Linked DNA regions of Caenorhabditis elegans. The protein of the gene in region 2 interacts with the protein of the main gene of each other region in a pairwise test. Each region holds a gene or a part of one and is shown on either strand. Other genes may lie near its edges. The genes, in order: rpn-12 and K01A2.10.

Region 1 (3,534 bases), about 11 Mb from region 2:
CTTCTTCGTTGGATATGCTCAAGTTTGGTGTGGAGCCAAGACGCCAGAGACCAAGACTTTATTGCTACTCACTGATCCTCACTCACCAGAAACTGCAAGGTATTACTGAAACACTAAATTCCGAGAATGCGTATTACATAACATATTTGACGCGCAAAATATCTCGTAGCGAAAACTACAGTAACTTTTTAGAGGGCTACTGTAGTGTCGATTTACGGGCTCGGAAATTTATTTATTTTTCGTTTAACAATCGAAACCACTACAGTAGTCATTTAAAGATTTACCTCGTGAGTTTATTTCCATAAGTAGACGATTTACTATTTACATGTAGTTTTCGCTACAAGATATTCAAAAATATGTTACGCAATACACATCATCGTTCATTCAACTTTTTTGGCAACAATTATTTATAATTTTTTCAGAGTGAACACGGTTCTAACAAATCAGCCAGAATTTGCCGAGGCTTTCAAATGTCCAGCTGGATCTCCGATGAATCCAACGAAACGCTGTGTTGTGTGGTAATCAGAAAATACGGGAAAGGAGTCAACCAAGTTGGCACGCTTTATCTATCTGTCTCTCAGAATCTACTAAATCTTTCGTCCTTTTTTTTTACTCATCTAGCTGTATATATTGTTGAAAACAATAGACACTCGAATTCACTGTATTTTGTCCCTCTATGTATTTTTTCTCGAATTTTTCCAACTTCTTTTTTTGGTATATCATATTGATAGATGTTCTTGTTCATTCCAGAAATCTTTGTGCAAATAAAATTTTCAGATGTAATTAAAACTTGCTAAAACAATGCATCGGAAAGTTCATTTTCTTACAGTACCGAGAAAAAGACGCGAATAAATTAAAATCAGTTTACAAATACAATGCTTGAGTTCTTGAAAGACACCGGTTAAACGATTTGTTCGAGTTGCTTGGCGTAGAAGAGGGTTTGAGTTGCGACTCGCACTGTATCCAAATTCACAGGCTTCTCCTGAGCCACCTCAATTTCGAAAACGTAACGCTCTCCATCCAAATGCCATTTTCTCTGTAAATAAATATATTTTTTAATACTTGTAGCTTTAAAAATCATTATTACCTCTTGTCCAAACTTTTTCATTTGTTCGTCATTGTCGAACAGAAGCATGACCGTGGCATCCTTCGCTGTCAGAACTTTGAAAGACTTCTCGATAGATGTTGCGATTTCGCGACGGATGGTGTCAAGCATAATACGAATGAAAATAGTGTAGAAGGGGCTTGGAATATTCTTCTCGGTGAGCACAACCTTGTTGTAGGCTCCTTCCATGAGACTCTGTTCAATACGAACTGGCGTAGAGATGTAAGCGTTTGATGTTTGCTCTTTCTGTGGAATTTGTTCGAGGAGCATGTGGAAGTCGGACAATCTGTTGGCAGCGAGCAGGAACATCAGATGGAGTCCAGTCATTAAATGCTTGTTTTCAGAATTTTCTGGCGCCATTGTATAGTAGGTATGCATCTGGAAAATTAAAAATAATTTACAGATCGTTAAAAATTACATAAATTTTCCAAATAATTATTTAAAGACTCACCTGATTGATGTAATCGTCGAACGTTTCGAAATCGTGCTTCAGAATTGCCAAGAGCACCGAAATCTCGTACAAATCTCTGAAAATTAATAATTTAAACTCATTACACCAAAGAAAAATCTTACTTTGAAGCCAATGCAGACTGTTTATCATTCAAATCGCTGGAGGCACTGAGAACCTTCTGAAAATTCAATTTATTTACAATTTGACAAACAATTAACTGACCGTCAACTCATTCAGAGCCTTCTCAACTGCGACAAGATCTTTTGGCTCCTTTGCCCACACAGCCAGAAGATTTTTATGGGCGGCAGACATTTTCTTAAATCCAATAATGTTTTAATTTGATAAAATCGAAGATAAAAGTTCACGATAAACACAAGTGAAGTTAAAAAATAAAAATAAAACATTCAAAAAAGAAATAAACGCATTCTCCGTAAATCGACACAATGACAATTCTGGCAGGTCTCGCCACGAAGAGTGTTCAAATCATGTGCGCCTTTAAGACGCCAAGCCATTTTCTCTTCTGTTTTTTACCACTTATTTTGTTCTTCAAAATGGTTTTTTTGTTTTGTTCTTTTATTAATAATCAAATGTTTGTTTATTTTATACATATATACTGCTTGTTTTGCATTAATATCAATCTGTTATCGATATTTATTTCTTTTTCTTTCAATACATGACTCTATTCGTAACATTTCACAATTTTTTGCAGGATGGTTTTGTCCGTTACATTCAGGACTCTCACACAAGTTAACTTCAATTTGGAATTGAATGAAGATCAGACGGTAAGATTAGAGTTAATGTTCGACTTGTATTTTATTTTTCTTTCAGATTGCGGAAGTAAAGGCTCTGGTCGCTTCGGAGAAAGGGGATGATTATGCTCCAGAACTTCAAAAATTAATCTACAACGGAAAGGTATTACAGTGAAGGCTCATAATATCTTTAAAGTATGTTTTTTTTTTAGATTCTCGACGATTCTGTGAAGGTCGGAGAAGTCGGATTCGATTCTTCGAAGTTCGTTGTTGTGATGCTCAGCAAAAGGAAAGTCACAGAAGTTGCACCTTCATCTACCGTTGCCACAGCTGCTGAGCCTGTTCCAGTAGCTGCCGCTCCTGCGTCAAACCCAGCCCCAGCTGCCGATGTTGCTCCTGAAGCTGCTGCTCCTGCTGAGGCGGAGGCGCTTACGGATGAGCAAGAAGAGAACGTTCTCGCAATCACTGGAATGGGCTATGACCGTGAACAAACTATCGCTGCTCTGCGCGCAGCATTCTGGAATCCAGACCGCGCAGTCGAGTTTCTTCTCAACGGACTTCCTGATGATGCTGCTGACCAAGAACCAGATTTGGGGCCCGAGCAAAACATCGATAACGTGGATGAGGATGGCAATGACGATCTTAACATGCTTGCAAACATGCCACAGCTTGCAGAAATTAGAGCTTTGATTCAACAAAATCCTGAAATGCTCGCCGCAGTCCTTCAGCAGTTGGCTGCTGTCAACCCAAGACTTGTTCAGACTATTCAGAACAACCAGCAAGCTTTCATGGATCTTTTGAATGGTGGAGCTCAAGGAGCCGGAGCCGCTGCAGGAAATGCGCCAGAAAGAAACACCCCACGTCGCCATGTTATCCATCTCAGTCCCGAAGAAGCTGCTGCTATTGAGAGAATCAAAGCCATAGTTGTTAATGCACCAGAAGCTGTGGTTGTGGAGGCTTATTTCGCATGTGACAAAAACGAGGAAGCCGCTATCAACTTTATTTTCAGCAACCTCGTGAGTTTATTTCCATACGTAGATAATTAGAAGTTTAATTTTTAATTATTTCAGGATGAGGAATAATTATCTTACCCATGCCAATAACTTCTGATCACCGTCACTGGAAATTGCAACAGAAATTAATTTATTCTCTCTCCCCCATTTCCGTAAAGCTTATATTCTTGCTCCTATCAGCCTAATTTTTTTATTAACACTTCTTCCAAGAATGTG
Region 2 (4,282 bases):
TGCTGCTACAATGCGAATAAAACGTTTCTACAATTCAGAAATTTTGAAATTTGAGAAAAACCTCATTTTAGAAATCATTTTTAGTACTAGTAATAAATACTAAAAATCTTGCAGCTCATACACATGGTAACCACCACCTTGTGCTCCTTAACCGTCGGAAAACCAATTGATGATGCAGATGCAAAACGTCTTCACCAGGAATTCCAAAGCCTATCTTCAGAAGATCAGGCTGCGCTGAGAAAGAATAATCCGGATATTAAATTTTGATTTTTTTTCTGATGTTTCCTCCAGTAAGGTATTTTGATTAAAACTGCATAATGAGACATTAATAAAAAATATAATATTCTTATGCGCACTATACATTTGGATACATGCGACGTGAGTGATGCCGTGAGGCCGGCGCGGCCACCGTTGCGGCGACCTTATGGAAGCCCTATTTCGGGGTGCGGCCTGATTTTCTTAACAAACATTATGCCCATGATATAGGCGTGGTCGGAGCAGCCCCACCTATGTTTTTGAGCTGTGGCTGAGATGGTTGACTTGGCTAAATTTCTGGCAACAACTAGGCCCCGCCGACGTTTTGGGAAGGATTTTCTGTCCAAAACGCATCTCCTGCCTATTTTCATAACATGGAATTTTGATAACTTTCCTGAAACCGTAGTTTTTATAATTTTCAAATAAAAATTCAGAATATCTTCATTTGACTGAGGTATATATGTACAATAAAAAAGTCATCGGTTTCAAAAACCCATTGAATTTAAGCTTCCGCACCTGCCTCCTGAAAGCTTAATTAGGCATAGTCGGTGCACGCATCGCTGAAGTTGATCTTTTCTGAATACTAATTCTAGAATTTCCAGGATACGTTACAGCAACAGAAGCTGATAATAGTCCACTTGACACTGGTGGAAAGATCCGATGAGGTGAGGATGGTGACGTCATCGGTGGTGATGACGTGGTGGAGAGTTGAGATGAGGCTCTACGACGATGCTGGGATGTTGCCATTGCTTCGCGGAGTTTGATGGCACGGAGTTGTTGGGAAAGATGGGTTACGGTTTGGTTACGGTCAGAGAGTTCTTCGTTTAGCTGGCGGATTCGGTCACTCTGAAAATTGTTTCGATTAAAAAAAATTGCTGCAAAAATGTTTTGGAGTTTCAGAATTTTTGAAAGTTTTTAAATTTCTCGGCAATTAAAGAAATGAATTTCCAAGAAGTTGATATTACATGGTTATGAAAGTTTTGTTCATTATTTTTATAAGTTTACAAGCTCAAAGCCACAATTTAAACTAATATTTCCACAAGGAAAATAATGTGACTTTACAAATTTCGAATCTTGTAAAGTTTTTATTTGAAAATTCTATAGTTTTTTGAAAATTTGGTATTTAAAATTGAAATTTGTGTAAAGAATTGTTCCGGAAATCTGGAAATTTTGAATATTAAAAAAAAGTGCTGGTCTGAGAAAGAAAAATTCCAAAAAAATCTAAAATTTTTGCCAAATTTCAGAAATTAAAAACATATTGTCTTCAATGTCAATTTAAATAGTAAAAAATATGTGTTTTAGACTCCGCCCACAAAAAGAGCGTGGCTAAAAAAAACTTACCTGAATAGTAATTTGTTCCTGAAGTTTTTGAATAGTCGTTGAAACTTTTTTTTCTAAATTCTTGGTATAAGCTTCCTTTTCCGTAATTACTTTTTCCAGTTCAGCAATTTTATCCGCTGAATCATCATCCCCGTGCAAAGTTTTTCGTTTTTCTTCCCGTAACTCATTTCCGAGGCGATTAATTTCATTATGAAGTGATTTCAGCATATTTGAAGTTTCATTTTGTAAAAATTGGATTTGTGATTTTTCATGTTTCCTCCATTCTGCATCGCGTTCTTTCAAGGCTTTGTCGATGCGGATTTCAAGTTCTTCAAACTGAAATTAAATTTTGTTTTGAAAATTAACTTTTTAACATATGGCTCAACTTTGTACTTTTAATATTTGTATATTTCAAAACACGAATTTGACCCCAAAACACTTTGAAAAATTACAGTTTGACCTACCCACTAATTTTTTGCGCGGAAGTTTTTAGAAAAATTGAAAAGTGCATTTTGCTTGAAATGTTTTTTTTTCGACATTTTGAATTTCGGATCAAGAAAAAATATGTTAAAAATATTCTGGAAAGTATGCCGATATGAAAATTAAATGTCTTACATCAGAAGAACCCTTTGCCCTTCCAGTCGTGGGAGGAATCGATTCAGAGCTCGACGATGAAAATGAGCATCTATTTGGGTGTTGGGGTCCGTGAAAGGATGCTGTCTGGGACGGAGGGCGACTCACAATCACTGCAGTTGACATTCTGGAATAATTGGAAATTTTTGTGGAGTATGGAAATGAAATCGAATATGAAAAAAAATCAAAGCGAAAAAAAACTCAATTTGAAAATTTGGAAACATGAAAACATTTTGCAAATTGCAGTAAGTTTAGTAAATGTTTAAAAATTGAAAAAAAAACTAGTAGTTAGAAAAAGACGTCTAGAGAAAGTTGTTCAAATTTTAATGAAAAATGAGATCGAATTCTCGAAGCTCTTACTCCAACTGAACTCCCAACAATTCTGACCTCAGCTACCTAGACCACCGCCTCAAAACTGTCCTAAAAGTTCAAAACCAAAAAACCCATTGAGTCAGCTGACTTCATCTTAGTACATCCCCCATCTTTCAAACACACACACAAAATCGAACAACTTCTCCTTGAAAAGAGAGGGAAAAAGTGGAAAAAGATGAGAGGTAGAGATACCAAAGACCTCCTGATGCAGAAGAGTAGACATAGAGAAAACGAGGCAAGGATTCAGCTGCAGAGAGGGAGGGAGGCCGAAAATAGAGAAGTAGGGAAAATGGTGGTGGTCGATTTCTATGGAACCCGCGCACGCACGGACACGTTAGGGAACATGAGCTCTTCTCAATGAGCACATTATGAAATCAGAACGAAAATGGGGTCTATGGGGGTAATTTGGTATTCAGGAAAGGTTAATACTGCACATATATTTTCATAGTGGTCAAAGGTTGTACATCAGGGGTGCGCGGCAATTTTGACAATTACCGGTTTTGGAAATTTTCGGCAATCGGCAATTTCCGGTTTTCAAAATTTCGGGCAATTCCGGCAATTGCGGTTTTTTGGAATTTTCGGCAATTGCCGCGCACCCCTGAATAAGAGCCCTAGAACCTTAACTTCTTTGTCTTGCTGAATTCAAACTCAACCAGTAAAAAACTAAGTTAAGGGCTCACGTTAAAACCTCTTATGTAATTTCAATTTTTGCATAAAAATTCTGCAAAAACGCTTTTCAGAAAACTTCTAAAGGCGTTAAAATATTTGGCCCGTTCAAACAACTCTTGTTGGTTTTTTGGTGCTGCCCAAAGCTAGAAAAGTAAGGGAATTCTGGGACAATATGAGAATAGGAGAAAAGTGAATGTAAACAAATAAGGAAATATTTATGAGACCCTTTCTATACTTTTACGGACACAACAATTTTTATTTATTGAACATTTTTTTATGGGGGGTGCCTCATTCAAATAAATATTGGTGAAAGTTTAATGTTTTGAAAAAACAAAAATTACTTTAATTTTTCAACAAAAAAAGAGGTTTTGTAAAATTTTGTAATATTTTTTTTTTGGCAATTTTTTTTTCGATAGCTAAAAATTGTTAGACAGTTCAATTTGTAAAAGAATAACTAGGTTTTATAAAAAATTGTTTTTAATTTTTTAGCTCACTTATTGATGTTTTAAAACATAATCAAAATTGGTACTTTCAAAAAAATTGAAATTCAGGAAATTTCACATTATTATTCAAGTTCTCCCAAAAAAAAGGAAATTTTAGTCGATATTATAGAGTAGGCACTTCCTGCGTGGTGGTGTCACCTCTTTTTCTCTTTTTCGACCAATACATACATAAATGATAGTGTAACAACACGCATTCGATATTCCATACCCCCACTCTCTATTTCCATTCCACCCATCTGATACATAGTCATAAAAACATAGGACTAACTGGTTTTCGACTGTTTTTTTGTAGGATTTCTCAGTTACAGGTGTCACTTGATTTTCAGGTGATACGGAATTTAAAAATAGTTTATTGATATGGGAATTCGGAAAAAAATTGAACATAAAAATATCTGGGTAATCGGGAGGTACCTCCCAGCCTACTGTCTAAACTGGTATCTTGCAATGCATTTATGGAATTTTATTTACGAATTTGTGGAAAAAGTACCTTTATTTAATTTTCAAGAAATTTTCAGTTCTGAATTAACTTT

What was found.
Region 1: the proteins of K01A2.10 (region 2) and rpn-12 interact in a two-hybrid assay, tested with the Caenorhabditis elegans proteins (2 studies listed by BioGRID).

The regions. Positions count from the first base shown.
Region 1 is NC_003280.10:11,651,461-11,654,994, reverse strand, and holds rpn-12 (26S proteasome non-ATPase regulatory subunit 8), read right to left. Parts: upstream 1,872-3,534; 5' UTR 1,869-1,871; coding exon 1,779-1,868; intron 1,735-1,778; coding exon 1,679-1,734; intron 1,633-1,678; coding exon 1,557-1,632; intron 1,484-1,556; coding exon 1,088-1,483; intron 1,037-1,087; coding exon 902-1,036; 3' UTR 803-901; downstream 1-802. Other genes in the region: nep-1 (Neprilysin-1), read left to right, coding at 1-99, 423-522; rad-23 (UV excision repair protein RAD23), read left to right, coding at 2,267-2,338, 2,385-2,468, 2,518-3,321, 3,376-3,387. UniProt on the Caenorhabditis elegans protein: Acts as a regulatory subunit of the 26S proteasome which is involved in the ATP-dependent degradation of ubiquitinated proteins.
Region 2 is NC_003280.10:320,762-325,043, forward strand, and holds K01A2.10 (CCDC92/74 N-terminal domain-containing protein), read right to left. Parts: upstream 2,338-4,282; 5' UTR 2,335-2,337; coding exon 2,191-2,334; intron 1,912-2,190; coding exon 1,597-1,911; intron 1,102-1,596; coding exon 787-1,101; 3' UTR 681-786; downstream 1-680. Other genes in the region: far-7 (Fatty Acid/Retinol binding protein), read left to right, coding at 115-267.